2 linked regions of the Elephas maximus indicus genome follow. The protein of the gene in region 1 interacts with the protein of each later gene in a pairwise test. Links are inferred from orthologs where the notes say so. Each region holds a gene or a part of one and is shown on either strand. Other genes may lie near its edges.

Evidence for each region. The genes of interacting proteins can lie anywhere in the genome.
Region 2: the proteins of STAU1 (region 1) and NXT1 interact in binary tests that used the Homo sapiens proteins (3 or more experiments, as listed by UniProt). The two-hybrid records come from large-scale screens. The link is inferred for Elephas maximus indicus from reciprocal best matches to the Homo sapiens genes STAU1 and NXT1.

The regions. Positions count from the first base shown.
Region 1 is NC_064843.1:20,395,823-20,403,046, forward strand, and holds the start of STAU1 (double-stranded RNA-binding protein Staufen homolog 1), read left to right. Parts: upstream 1-4,218; 5' UTR 4,219-4,469; intron 4,470-7,224. UniProt on the Homo sapiens protein: Binds double-stranded RNA (regardless of the sequence) and tubulin.
Region 2 is NC_064843.1:65,789,462-65,797,047, reverse strand, and holds the start of NXT1 (NTF2-related export protein 1), read right to left. Parts: upstream 3,025-7,586; 5' UTR 2,881-3,024; intron 2,500-2,880; exon of another isoform or gene 2,284-2,499; intron 1-2,283.

The DNA of each region.
Region 1 (7,224 bases):
CCTTCTTCCAGAGCTGACAGAGAAAAAAAGCCTCCCCCTAGAGCTGGCGCCCTGAATTTGGACTTCCAGCCTACTGGACTGTGAGAGAATAAACTTCTCTTTGTTAAAGCCATCCACTTGTGATATTTCTGTTATAGTACACAAGATGACTAAGACAGGAGGCCTGTCCTGAGAGGCCTGTTAGCATGGCAGAGAGGACTGCTAGCCCAGCCAAGTAGGGTCTGCTAGCATAGCATACGGAAGCTGATGGAGCTGTCCTGGTTGGAAGCTGTCCTGATTGACCAACTGCATCCTGTCTCCCGAGTTACTTCCAAGTTGATCATGATCCTGAGTTGTAGCTCATTATTTCCCTAATAAACCCCTTAACTGTGAGTATGGTCTGTGCATTCTGTGTGGGCATTGCAACGAATTATGGAACCCAGTAGAAAAGTAGAGAGTGTTGTAGAGAGTGTTCTGTCTGGTGTGAGAAATGGTGAAGAATTTGGAGAGTGGAGGTGTGTCTGACCTCTACCTCACAGAAACCAGCTTTGTGTTGATTCAGATTCTTACACACCTCATGAAGTTAGACAAGTTTTGAGTATCTTTCAGATCTTCGCTAAAGCTACAGTGTTTCAAGGTACTCCTTCCCTAAACCCTGCAACTAGGTCAGATTCTCACTAAGTGCCCCCATAACACCATCTGCTTTTCCTTCCTGTATTATCACTGTTACATTTGGAGATATATGACCAGGTCTGTCTTTTCTATCAGTTGCCTTCAGGCCAGGATTCAACCCATGTACTTATACAGTAGGCCAGGCATTACAGCTTCAAAGCCAATAGGCACGAAAAAGTAACATAAATGAGAGGTGGGCAGGCTGGGGATTGTGATAAAAAAAACTTACCCCATCTATAGCGTTCAGCGCCATTCATAGGTTCTGTGCAGCAGATTTGCTTCATTTTAAAAGAGATGATGCAAACCCAGATTATTACGTGAATGTTAGGATGATAGCAACTAATTAAAACTAAAAACAGAGAGAGAAAGAGAAGAGAAAAACAACAACCACCTGAAGACTTAATATCCCTCATTTTGAGAACTACTCTGAACTTTCACGATGTACAACCAAGGAATTGTATATAACTGAGGCACAGGTTAGCCATGGGGCTGGCTGGGGTTCAGGGAGAAGTCATTTAGATTTGCTTTTCTCTATTTGTACCTAGGGACCATCACTTAAGTTCTCTTTCAAAGGCCCGTAGGCCTCTAGACTCTCACCAAGTAATTAAGGAGTTATTTATTTTTCTTTCTCTTGGGAAGAAGAGGGAAGTAAGAAACTGATCATTAAGTTTTACTAAATTCTCTGTGTTCCCTCCCAGAGGATAAATTATAAGTATTTGTAACAAGGAATGTGAACATGCAAATCTCATAAAAGCCCTGGGAGAAGTCAATTTTTGTCAAAAACTTATACTTCTTGTTATTTCATGTTTCTATTAAAAAAATAGAGGGACCTCTCTCTGACTGTATGGAAGGAGGGGAGAAAATTGAGACTAGAATTCATAGGCCCATTGTTTAAGCCTCCCATGGGTGATAGTAAAATGGGACAGAATGACTTCCTTCTAACTTCACACCTTTGAGAAGATTGTTTGATTGTATTCACAGATACAGTTTTGGGTTTAGAGAAACCCCTCTGTGACTATTCTTTTACCCAAGTGAGCTATGAGATCCAGACTGCTTAGACGTTAGAAAGAAAAAAATTCACCTTCAGCAGAGAGCTGAAAAATACTTGATTGTTGCTTAGTCTTGGATGGGCACTGAAAGGATGATGAAGGTCTTCTGACTGATTTTCATGTCCTGAAACTTCTCATTGTGTTTTACAAGAAACAAAATAAGGCCTAGTCCAGAGAAGAGAGTCCTCCACGGCTAGGGCAAGGATTCTTCAGCCTCACAATCTCAAGTTGTGGATTTATGCAAATTTAACAGCTTTTCCATGGCAAAAAAGACTGAGCAACAGTTAGATTGAGAGTTACTGACAGACAGAATGAACGTTTTAAATAGTGATGGAACAGCTCCAGAGTGAGCAGGAGAGAGGAAGCCTGTGACTCTGCAGTTGCTTCAATCACTCTGAGCTTCCCGGACTTCTTACAATGTGAGCATCATTCTTCACTGGGGGTGATTCCAGGTGTCAAAGATTCCTTCGCCCTCTCCACTCTTGAACATCAGGGCCTCTAAAAAAAGCTTAGGTTATCTAGAGCTGGGTGAGAGAAAGGGACGTATGTTGCCATGCTTGAGAAAAAACAGACAGAGGAATCTGTCATTTTCCAAATCTCTTTCTAAGAGATTTCGAGAATAATTTTGACAAAATGGGGTCTCTACATTGCATGTTCACCTACAAACAAATCATGGTCTTGGTGGATTTGAAGAATCGAAAAGATCTCTAGGTTGATGTCTAGGTTCTTTACTGAACCAAGTCAAGAGTTAACAGTCCTAACAAGTTCTAAAAATATATTTTCTTCTTAAGAAATTTATACATGTTTCTTACAGAACATTCTTTCCTGCCTCAGAGCCTTCTCTGCCTGGGATGCTCTATCCTTAAATTTTTTATGGCTCTGGACTTACTTCCAACGTCTCCTTCTCAAGGGGCCCTATCTGACCCTGTCTTAGTCATCTAGTGCTGCTATAACAGAAATACCACAAGTGGATGGCTTCAACAAAGAGAAATTTATTCTCTCACAGTCTAGCAGGCCGGAAGTCCAAATTTAGGGCGTCAGCTCCAGGGGAAGCCTTTCTCTGTCAGCTCTGGAGAAAGGTCATCATCATCCATCTTCCCCTGGGCTACAGGCTTCTCCCCGCAGGAACCTTGGGTGCACCCTGCTCCAGGTGCTTCTTTCCTGGTGGTATGAGGTCCCCACTCTGCTTGCTTTCCTTTCCTTTTATCTCTTGTAAGATAAAAGGTGGTGCAGGCCACACCCCAGGCAAACTCCCCTTACATTGGATCAGGGATGTGACCTGAGCAAGGGTGTTACATCCCACCCTAATCCTCTTTAACCACAGGAAGAGATTATGATTTATAACACATAGGAAAATCACAAAATGGAGGACAACCACATGACACTGGGAATCACGGCCTAACCAAGTTGACACATATTTTTAGGGGACACAATTCAATCCATGACAGGCCCTCTCCACCCAATCACAATTTATCATATAAGTCTGTTTCATTTTCTTATAGCATTTATTGCTCTTTTATCTCATTTGATTATCATTTATTGTGTATCTCCTTTTGTCTAAGGCATTTATTATTTTTTACACTCTATATGAATATAATTATATAAATTTACTGGAGCCCTGGTGACACAATGGTTAAGAGCTTGGCTCCTGACCAAAAGGTCAGCAGTTCAAATCCACCGGCTACTCCTTTGAAACCCTATGGGGCAGTTCTACTCTGTCCTATAGGGTTGCTATGAGTTGGAATCAACTCAATGGCAATAGTTTTTTTGGGGGGGGTTTTTTTTGGATATAAATTACTTTTTTTTTTTTTAATAATTTTTATTGAGCTTTAAGTGAACGTTTACAAATCAAGTCAGTCTGTCACATATAACTTATTTATTTATTTATTTTTAATTCAGTTTTATCCCCACTAGAAGGGAGCAGTACTCAGAATAGAATCAAGGCAAGGGGTAGAGGGGCTAATGGTTAAGAGCCTGGCTGCTAACCAAAAGGTCAGCAGTTCAAATCCACCAGCTGCTCTTTGGAAACTCTATGGGCAGCTCTACTTTGCCCTATAGGGTCACTATGAGTGGGAATGGACTGAAACCCAACAGGTTTGTTTGTTTGGTAGACGGTAAGCTCCACGAGGGCGGGAATTTTTGTCTGTTCATTACTTATTCTTAGGTCTGGCAGCAGTACCTTACACATAGTAGCCGTTTAGTAAACATTTACAGAAGGAAGAATGCAGGTACTGAGGGACTAAAAGAAGGAAAAACAGGCAAAAAGTAGGAAGCAGGTAGTAGCCCCACCTCGGACTCAGCCGGCGCCTGCAAGAACTACAACTCCCAGCATGCCCCGGGGCCCAGGGCGGGTCGCGGCCGCCCCGGGCAGAGAGCAGGACCCAGCCCTTCGGGCTCCCGGCGTGCCTTGCGAGCGCCGGCGCCGCCGCAGCGCCCGCCGGAACTTGTGGTCCAAGCGCGGGTGGGGGTGGGGCCGGGCTTGGAGGCGGGCGGGGGCCGGGGGCGGGCGCCGGCCCCTCCCCCGTCACTTCCTGCCAGGCTGCGGGCGCTCCAGCGGCTCCTCAGCGTTTGCGCCGGCAGTCGCCGCCGCGTCTCACTCGGCTCCCCTGGTCCCTGACCCCCGGCCCGGCGGCGCCCGCCCCTCCACGGCCACTCCGCCTCTTCCCTCCCTCCGTCCCTTCCTCCTGTCCCTTCTTCCTTCCTCCTTCCCCTCTTCGCCGCCGCCGCCCAGGACCGCCGGCCGGGGGACGCGCTCAGGGCAACAGCCAGGTGAGGCGGCCGGGCCTGGCCCGAAGGCGCTCGCGCGGGCGCCGCAGCCGCGGGGAGGCGGGCGGCGGGTGGGGCCTAGGCCTCGGCGGCGCCGCGCGCCGGCCTCCTCTCCCGGGCCTCGCTCCCGCCGGCCGGGCCTTCTCCTAGGAGGCGGGTCGTTCTGCGCCCCCGCCTCGCGCCGCCGGGCGGCCTGGCCCCCGGGCGCCCGGCCCTCTCGGCCCCTAGCTGGGGCCAGAAACAGGTGCCCCGACCGCCTTTCCTCATTCCTGGCCGCGCGCTGGATGCCGGAGTTGTTCCCGGGGCGGGGGAGGGGCGAGTCTCGGCTCCGGGCCCCGAGGTCCACGCGCACGGCCGGCCCGGCCGGTGGCACAGCCGGCGCAGGGGCGGCCCAGGTGTGCGACTCGGGGGCTGACCCCGCTCTGCCCCCTTGGGCCAGTCACTTCAGCTGGCAGAAGGGGCTGATACCGCCCCTGCCCCTTAAGGTTCTCAAGGTTCAGTGAAACGGGGCGTGTAAAGCACTTACCAGAGTGTCTCAAAGCGTCAACATTATTTATTAGCGCGATCACAAAACCCAGCGCGCGATCAGTAAGGTGTTTAATTAAATGGATAGAGGGCGCAGAAACTGACCTACCTACCCGTGTTGGGATCCTTGGAAGCGGAAATGTCTCAGCGTGCCCACTGCCAGCGCCAGGACATTGTTTTGGGTTGTTAACCCAAAGGGGCTTACGTTTAATTGGGACACTCTGCAGTAGGTAGCCTGTAAAAGATAGCTGCTGTTATTTCCATCTCATCCGTGTGGCCAACTGCAGGATTTTCACCACTGAGAGCAACCTGTCCGCTTCTTCTGCCATCATCCGGCTTCTTGTTGTCATCTCACTTCTGGGAAACTTGCTGGCAGAAGCAAACCTTTCTGCAGCACCTGCTGTGGGGTCGGGTTCTGGAGGGGGAAGATGGTGTACAAATATGAACAAACATGTCTGTCTGTCCCTTTCTTGCTCTACATCTCGAACTTCTAACTTTTTGTCACTGCAGCTTTGCTTTTATTCCCTCCGTTCCCGTTGGCTGACTTTCATTTTAAGCCCTTGCCCACCTCCGTGTTGCAGTATTGCTTGTATGGAAGTTTTCTTCTGTTCCAGCAAAGATGTGTGCTTCAGTCTGTTCTGCCCTTCTCTGGCTGTGGGGATGTTTTTAAGGTCACTCTTCCCTTCTGCCTTTAGCTTTAATTGTTTAGAGGGTGGGAGAAGGAGTGAGTTAAACTGGGTTTTCAGATGATTTGGGTCTTTCAGGAATCAAAAGTGCTTACCAAATGTAAATGACATTGCTACTTGTTGAAGTTAACACTAAAAATACAATTGGATCCTAGAGGGAGCCTTTTCAATCACCCTGGTGACAGGTGGGATTTTCAGAACAGTGACTTCATTGAAGCATGCCGAGTTTTTGTAATTATGTACTTAGTTGTATAGGTATACCCATCAGTAAGGTAATGCAACTCATGGAAGTTTAGATTTACAAAGGAGTCAGGAGTGTGTTTGCACTCCTGGCATAGTGGTTAAGAGTTCAGCTGCTAACCAAAAGGTCGGCAGTTTGAGTCCACCAGGCTTTCCTTGGAAACCCTATGGGGCAGTTTTGCTCTGTCCTGTAGGGTCACAGTGAGTTGGAATCGACTTGATGGCAACGGGCCTTTTTTTTTTTTGGTTCTCAATAATAACACGCATGATCCAAAGTGGCCTCCCTCTTCTTGACATTTTCTTAGAATTTTCTGACTCAAGGCCTTACCAGGGTTTCTAGTTTAAAATCTTGGCTTCGATGGCTTTTTAAAAACACCTGAGCAAACAACTAAACAACACAAAGCCTGTGTTCTACTCCCACATCGCTAATAGTAACGCTGGGGAAATGGTGTTTTAATATTGCAGTAAATAATGTAAAGTTTTTTTTAACTTTTTATCATGGAAAACATACAGACGCCAAATACTATACTGTAGAAAACCCCTGTGTATTGGTCGCTCATCTTTGACAATTGTTACCTCATAGCCAAGGCCAGCCTTGTTTCATATTGTACCCCTCCCCCAAACGATTATTTTGAAACAAATCCCAAACATCCTATCACAACATTAACGATTTCCACTTTTACCAGATTGCCCCAGTCTGTCACAAAATTTACTTTTAGCAGAGTCATACTTCTTGTTTTGTTAGGATTCTCATCTCTGTTTAGACAGTGTTACTATAAAAAAAATAAAATTTTTTTTATAGTGTTACTATAGAGCAGAAAAAAGAGCAGCAGCTTGATTAGTGCTTAATTCAGTGTTTCTCCCCATCAAACTCACGTCCAAAATATTGGTTTGTTTCTTTGCATATGAAAACAATAATTTTTCTATTAATGACTGTAATTGAAAAGCAGTCAGAAATAACAGATTTTCCTAATCCTATCTGCTGGGGACCTACCTGTTAAACCACTTTTTATGGAGAATTAACTTTGCATCCAAGTTAAAGTTAATTATTTATAATGAAAACCTTTAAAGTTTCTTTATAGTAGTTGTGTAAATATGTTGATCTCAGCTTAGGTTAAGAATTAAGTAAAGGGTATTTGATTTCAGTACCCTCCGTTGTAGAATTATTTTCCAAAGACTGCCCCCATCTGCCTTATTTGCAAACAACAAATTTATTTAAGCAGGAATGAAATCTTAATTTTTGTGACTAGTATGAAATCATAGCACAGGTGTTCACATTTTTCTTTCTGGTCTAAAAAGAGATCTAA
Region 2 (7,586 bases), about 45 Mb from region 1:
ATGCATCAATTGGTCTCAACCCACCTGCAGCAAAGGAGAATGGAGAACACTAAGGATACAAGGTCATTAATTGTGAGTCCAAGAGACAGACAGGGCCACATAAACCAGAGACTACCTCAGCCTGAGACCAGAAGAACTAGATGGTGCCTAACTACAACTGATGACTGCCCTGACAGGGAACACAACAGAGAACCCCTGAGGGAGCAGGAGGAGAGCATGGGGATGCAGACCCCAAATTCCGCAAAATGACCAGACTTAATGGTCGAACTGAGACTAGAAGGACCCCAGAGGTCATGGTTCCCAGACTTTCTGTTAGCCCAAGACAGGAACCATTCCCAAAGCCAGCTCTTCAGACAGAGATTGGGCTGGACGATGGGACAGAAAATGATATTGGTGAAGAGTGAGCTCCTTGGATCAAGTAAACCCAAACAAGCAGACACAGGAAACTGTAGGGAGCTCTTGTCTGGAGAAGAAAGGAGAGGGCAGAGGGGGGCAGATGCTGGCTGAATGGACACAAAAATAGAGAGCGGAGGGAAAGAGTGTGCTGTGTCAATAAAACCCCAAAAAACCAAACCCAGTGCTATCAAGTCGATTCCGACTCATAGCGACCCTATAGGACAGAGTAGAACTGCCCCACAGAGGGGTTTTCAAGGAGCGCCTGGCAGATTCGAACTGCCAACCCTTTGGTTAGCAGCCATAGCACTTAACCACTACGCCACCAGGGTTTCGCTGTGTCAATACAGAAGTGGAAACAGGAGTACACAGCAAGGTTACATAAGTTTTTATATGAGATATTGACTTGTTTTTAAACTTTCACTTAAAAAAAAAAATCTTAGCCTAGACCTTTTGTTGAGAACATGAATTCAGACTACAAGCCTCTAAAATCATGAGGCAATAAATTTCTGTTCTTATAAGCACCGCCCCCCAAAAAACCTTCTGACTCATGGCAACCGTGTACAGGACGGAACAGAATTGCCCTGTAGGGTTTCAAAGGCCGTGAATCTTTATAGAAGCAGACTGCCACATCTTTCTCCCATGGAGCAGCTAACAGGTTTGAACCGTTAAGCTTTCACTTAGCAGCTAAGTGCGTGAGCACCGTGCCACTAGAGCCTGCTGTAATCATCAGCTAACAAAACAGATGACAGATTCCACATGGGGTGGAGAAAGAGACCTGGTCAGGTAGATTTAAAGGCTGGGAAAGGCACTGGCATCTGCCTCTAGTAAAGACCTGTGAAGAGCTGGGGGTGGGGGGTGGGGGGTGGGGGGTGGGGGGTGGGGGGTGGGGGGTGGGGGGTGGGGGGTGGGGGGTGGGGGAGCAGCCCTAGACATAAGAGTTGGGTCTTCCACAGACACTGGTCTTTCCACTTCCTCCACGGACCTCGATACCAGACATCAGTGCGCACTTACTCTGGGCTAGGTACTGTGATAGGGCTTTACACGCCTTACCTTCACTTAAGCATCACCATGCTGGATGAAAGGAGCCATGGTGGCACAGGGGTTAAGCACTCAGCTGCTAAACTTAAGGTTAGTGGTTTGAACTCATCTGCCTCTGCACGGGAGAAACCTGTTGCAGTCTTCTGTAAAGATTTACAGCCTTGGAAACCCCACCCGGCAGCTCTGCTCCGTCCTGGAGCGTTGCCAGCAGCTGGATAATGAATGGGTGAGGAGGACATTACACAACAGCTTTATAAATCAGAAAACAACAGTCTGGAACAAGATCACAACAGTAAGTAGATGCCTGATTTACCGTTCATAAAAACGTCTGTGGACCTTGAAAAATTTCAAAAGACTGCTGGCCTTTTATTTGCTCAAAGTTCCCTGCATTTTTTAACTAAAGCTGAATTTGTCTACTTGAGCTTAGCTCCAGGACAAGTGGTTTGAAAATTCCTTTCTGGAAACTCAGATTTCTCTTTCTGGAAGGCCCGACCATTACAAGGTCCACATTCCTCCTCATCCTGATGTCCCGTCAGTCCTCCATCGTCTCAATTCCATTGTCTCCGGACCTTCTCTTCAGTTGAGCCCCTGTTCCCCCACCTCTGCTTCCACTCACAATCATGTCCCCTCTCCCAATAAACGACCACGTCTCTTCGCTACGTTAATACAGAGCAATAATGAGACTGTGGAAAGTGGGATAAATGAAAATCTGTGAATACCGCCTCCTTTTCTCTGGGCTCCACATCACCGAATGCTGAGTGAGAAGATGCAACAGTTACACAGTTCTTCTGAGGCCTCAGAGCTGCTCCTCTACATGGCTCTCTCCTGCTCACTGCAATGCAAACTTACCGAGAGTTTCTCTCTGAACGCATGCTCTTCCTCCCGCACACGCAGAAACCTAACGCAGGCCTGCACTGATACCTCCTGATTTAGCGACAAAACCCGCGGGTTTCCCTTGACAGTGAAGCAAGGCTCGGGAATGCCCGTGTTCCTCTCCCTGTCTCTCGTGAATCGCTCCGCGTCCGCGCGTGGTCCCCAATGTACCAGATGGGGTCGGCGACCTACCTGTGCAGACCACATCCCGGGTCAGCGCGGGCGGAGAGGGTCTCCGCCTCCCTCGCCAGCGCGGGTCGGGGTGCGACTCAGCGACCCCCAGTGAGCGTGGGCGGGGAGTGGGGGCGGGTAGGCGTCCGGGGTGGGCGGTGGGCGTCCCCGGGGGCCGGCGGGGCAGGGGCAGTGGGCGTCCCGGGGGGGCGGGGCCGTCTCCGGTGGGCGGGGGGAGTCCCCGTGGGGCGGGGGCGTCTCCGGTGCGCGGGGGGCGGTAGGAGTCCCCAGGGGCGACGGGGCGGGGACAGGGGGCGTCGCGGACTGCAGGTCTACCGAGAGGCCCGGCACCTGAAGGTCACGGGTGGGACTGCCGAGGCTCTCAGCTCCCCCATGGCTCACCTGTGGGGGGCGCGGGAAGAGCCGCCCTCTTTTCCTCCAGCGGGGCTCACTCAGCTGGATCGCCGGGGCCCTAGGCGGCGGCGGCGACTGGCGGCCGGAGGCGCCCCCGGCGGCTCCCGGTGCAGATTCCCACTGGAGGCCCGCCTTGCGTGACCGGCAGCTGAGTGAACCAATGGGAAGGCGAGTCGGAAGGTAGCCCCGCCTAGGTGTGGCGGGAAGAGAGCCGCGGTTTCCGGGCGGGGGAGGGTCCAGGCAACGGCAGCGCTCGAGCTTTCATTGGTCCAACCGGGTCACAGACTCCGGTCCAAATAGTTAGGTGAGATATCGTTGATTGGATAAAGTTTCCAGGCCCCGCCCCCGGAGCCGAGGCCGCCCACTTGTGATGCTCTGCCGGAGAGGTTCATGCGCGCACGCTCAACTGCAGCTGGGGCTTCCGGTTCCGGGGCATGTGACGCCCCGCGACTTGTGCATCCGGGGCAGCCCACTGAGGCGCTCAGTCAGACATCGCGTGTGGTCGCCGGGAGCACGTGCACCCTCCGAGAGGGTAATTATCTGCCCAAGCGGTGACCCGAGCGGGCGCTGCCGTTTGTAGCTTGAGGCCCTTGGAGTTGACGGGCTGAGGGGTTGGGAAGGTCTTCTGGTAAGCGGGGACCCAGGAGCCCCGGCTGAGCAGTGGTTACAGGGCTCGGCTGCTAACCGAAAGGCCCGCGGCTGGAGCCCGCCGGCCGCTCTGAGGCACCCGGACGAGGCTTCCGTGAGCTTGTCGTTAGGTGCTGTGGTGCTGTCCGGCTCATAGCGACCCTGAGGCAAGGGACGGAGCACGGCCGGCTTCCGTGCCGGCGCCCCGGCCTGCTGCTGTGAACCCGCCGGTGCAGCCGCCGCGTCCGCGCGCCTCGCCGAGGGTCTGCCTCTCTCCGCTGACCCTCAGCCGAGCATGATGCCCTCCCGGGACCGGGCCCTCGTGGTAACGTGTCCACAGTACCAGAGACGGAGCCTCCTTATCCTCGTTTCCCAGGAGCGTTCTGGCTGCACTTCTGCCAAGACGAATTACTGCCTCGGAAGTACTGTGGGGCAGGTCAGCACGTCCTGTAGGGTCGCTGGGAGTGGGATTCAAGTCCAGGGCAACGGGTTTGGTCTCGGGAAACTGCCTAAAAGTGAGAAGAGGGTCGAGGATGGGGATGAGGGCGTGGGTAAAGCTGGGAACTGGCAAAAGGGCGCCAAAGGGCAGTTTACCTTCTGCGTCTTGAGAACCGAGGGGCTCCTTCCTTCACTCCATACTTATGGTGCCAGCTGTGGCTCAGAGCTTGGCTGGTGGCTTGATTCTGTGCTCCAGCTTTCCAAACTAGCTGTCTGGAACTTCAGCTGACCAATATGGAATCATTTAGTGAAAATAAAAGTGAGAATAAAACACGTTTGGACTTCAGGCGGAAGATTCTGAGCTCCACTTGCTGACCCTTAGGTGCGATATCGGATCCACCAGGTGTTCCTTGGAAACTATGGGGCAGTTCTCTCTCCTGTGGGGTCACTGAGGGTTGGAATTGACTCGATAGCAACGGGTTTGATTTTTTTGGGTTAAAGGTGAGGGAGCATTCTGGGCATGGGCTAGGTTCAAGGATTTTGCAGTGTCCTTTTAGGGCGTGTATTCATCGGAGGGATGCTTTTTTGGTGTCCTCAGCCTTGAGTTTGCTCGCGTTGCTCAGAGAACCCTTGCTCTCAGATTTCAAGACGAGCTTAGAAACCGGGTGGGCTGTTTAGTAAAGATGGGCTACTGAAATCAAGTAGGTGAAGGAGGTTTGGATTGTAAGAAGTAAGCTGGAGGCTGAGTAGAAAGGTCGAATGAGCGTCTTTGGAGCAGTGCTCATACCAGTTATTTCTTTATGAAGCCCAGGACAGTGAGGTCAGGGTTCGCTGTGCACAAGTCCATATCCCAGCACCAGTGGATGAAAAGAAAGCTGATTACTCTGTGCTCACTAGGTTGAATGTTAGGCTGCTTTAAGTTTCCCTGTATTCCCCTTTTTTCATAACCCTTTGAGGAAGGTGTTATTATTCCTGATATTATAGACGAGGAGGCTGAGAGAGAAATGAAATTAGCAGCCTGGAGTTACAGAGTTGAGTTAGACCTAAAAAAGCTGAACAGGACAACGTTTGTCCATCTCCAATGCCTTGTAAATACAGAGGACTTTGTCCCCAAGAGGCAGCAGAGCCAGCAGTGGGTAGGAAGGCAGGGACCTTTAAGACCTGTGTCTAGCATCTAAAATTGTGCTTAACTCACAGTAAGAGCTCAATAAATACTGTTTGAATGAATAGGCTTTGGTGCAGGACAGGCCTGAGTTCAAATCATTGCTCTACAACATTGCAATTGTGATGACCCCTCCCCCAAGTCTACTCCCCCTTCTCTTGGAAGCCCCGCTAGTTGTTATTCCCCTGCAGTCCTTGCATTTGGGAGTTTAGGGCCACGCCTGGCCCTCAGGCACAGGGTGCTGGCACTGTGCCCCAAGCAGAACTCAGGGATGGTGGGAGACCCAGTCAGGGCCACCAAGCCTGGAGAAGGTGGTTGCTCAGGGGTGCTGGGAAAGAAATGTTTTCTCTCTCTCTGGACTTGTGGTGTGTGGATGGCACTGCGACAACCATCTTTCCCCCCTGAGGGGAGCCCCATGCCCATGAGACAGACATGAGAGATGGGAAGAAATCAGGCACTCGATGACTGTGTTAAGACCCTGAGTCAAACCAGCCCTGAAGTTTGGACTTTGCAGTTTCAGGAGCTAGTAAAATATCCTTCATTTTTCATGCTATTTAAAGTTGGGCTTTACGTTACTTATAATTTAACTAGTATACCTAGTAGAGGTGACTGGTGGGTTGACTAGGGGATCATGTAAACTAACCTCTCTGAGTCTCAGCTGCCTCACCGGAGAATGAGGACAATAATAATACCCATTTTCTTGGGCAGATGCGAGCAGCGAAGGAAGCAATGCTTGGCACAGAGCCTGGCCTAGATTAAGCACCCAGGAAACACCACCAAGGCAGAATTATGCTTAGACAGTTTGCACTGACAGCAACTTCCTGATTTGCCAACAAGCTCTCCCTCCAAAGACTGGCTTTTAAGCATGGGACAAGTGTATTGACAAATTAGCTGGATTTATCACCAAATCACATTGGCACCTTCTAGAAAATGAAGCCTCTCTTAGAGCAGAGGCCCCGTTTGCAGCCTGGAGCCTCTCCAGGGAGGGAGGACACATCTACGTGCGGAGCCTCTGGCAGCTCTGAAGACAGGCCTGACTTAGGATGTTTATGTCTGAAGGACAGGGTTGATCTCCCCTGTTGTCGGTGTGTGTCTGCTGCAGGACCTAGCAGCACGTGTTTGCCTTAAGAGGCTTGGAGCTGGGCCACCTGCATTGGCACTGATAACAAATCTTTTTTTTTTTAATCTTTCCCTGATTTATTTGTTTCAGAGATTGCCATTTGAGGGCAGAAGGTAGAACTGAGAGCCTCTCGTACCCAGGGGGCAACAAGACTAAAGCCTCAGCAGGGCCATCAAGCTGCCGAACAACCAGGCGAGCCAGGGCTGTAGTTCTGGGAGGTCACTTGGGGACCCCACTTTTGGGGAGACTTTTCTGGAGGCCATGGAAGGAGCATATCATATGGGGCAGACAGGGTTTTGTGAAATCCTAGCTCTGCCACTCTGCCTCCTCTGTTCCTCGGTGACTTTGTGAAATGGGAGTGGGAATGCCGTAGTAGTTAAATGGCAGCGCATTGTGGAGGCACCACTGGGAGTGTTTGCCTCGCCTACAAGGATGCCCTTTGTTTGAGAATGTTCTTGGAATCATTGCTGATTGGGTTGCAGGTGGAAGTCTCTCCAGCTGAGCCATCAAATGCTCTTTCCCGGAAACGTGGAATTTTGGGAGCCAGAAACTGCTAATAAGCTTCAGGTGTGGCTGGAACTGAATATGGATATTTATTGGGGTTGATTGTTCGCAAGTAACAGAAACCAGTTTTGGCTAATGTAGGCCAGAGGTGTTTACTGGAAGCCTGCAGGTGCTTGCTGAGCCAAGGCAGGGCTTGGTAAGACTCCTGGGGTCTGGGGAGCAGGAACTGGGCAGTGGGTGCTTCAGGTGCTACCTCGGACAAATTTCTAGCCATTGGGATCCTCCACTCAAGATTCAGATTCCTGGGAGACAGAGAGCTGCATTGGCCTAACTCCAACCATGCGCCACCTGCCGCTTGGCCAGGAAGGGGTGGGGCAGCTTGACAGCCAGTCCCACTGAGGAGAGGAGAGGAGAGTTCCTGGGATTCTTGGAAGGCAGAAAGAACTGAGGCCAGTAGCGCCTGTAGGTTGGGAGCTGGGTGGCCATGAGGACAGACGAGATAATGAAGCAGAGTCAAAAGGCCACGTGATCTGAGAGAGTGCTAGAGTAGGGCACACCCACGCAGGCATAGGCACATGAGCTCTTGGTGAACAGCTGCCTTGGTTCCCAGTGTTTTTTTGTTCCTTGTTGTGGCAAGTGTTATTTTCCAAAAAACGGGCACAAAAATGTTTCTGGTTCCATGTGCTTGTCCAAACCTTGCCTTGCCGTCCCCACCAGGAGATGGTGTCTGTCCCCTTCCCTTGGATCTGGTCAGGCCTGGGGACCCAGTGAGGCAGGCCCAACTCACAGGGTTCAGAGGAAATGGTTGTGTGTGAGGTTAGGTCATAAAAGGGGGTGCGGCTC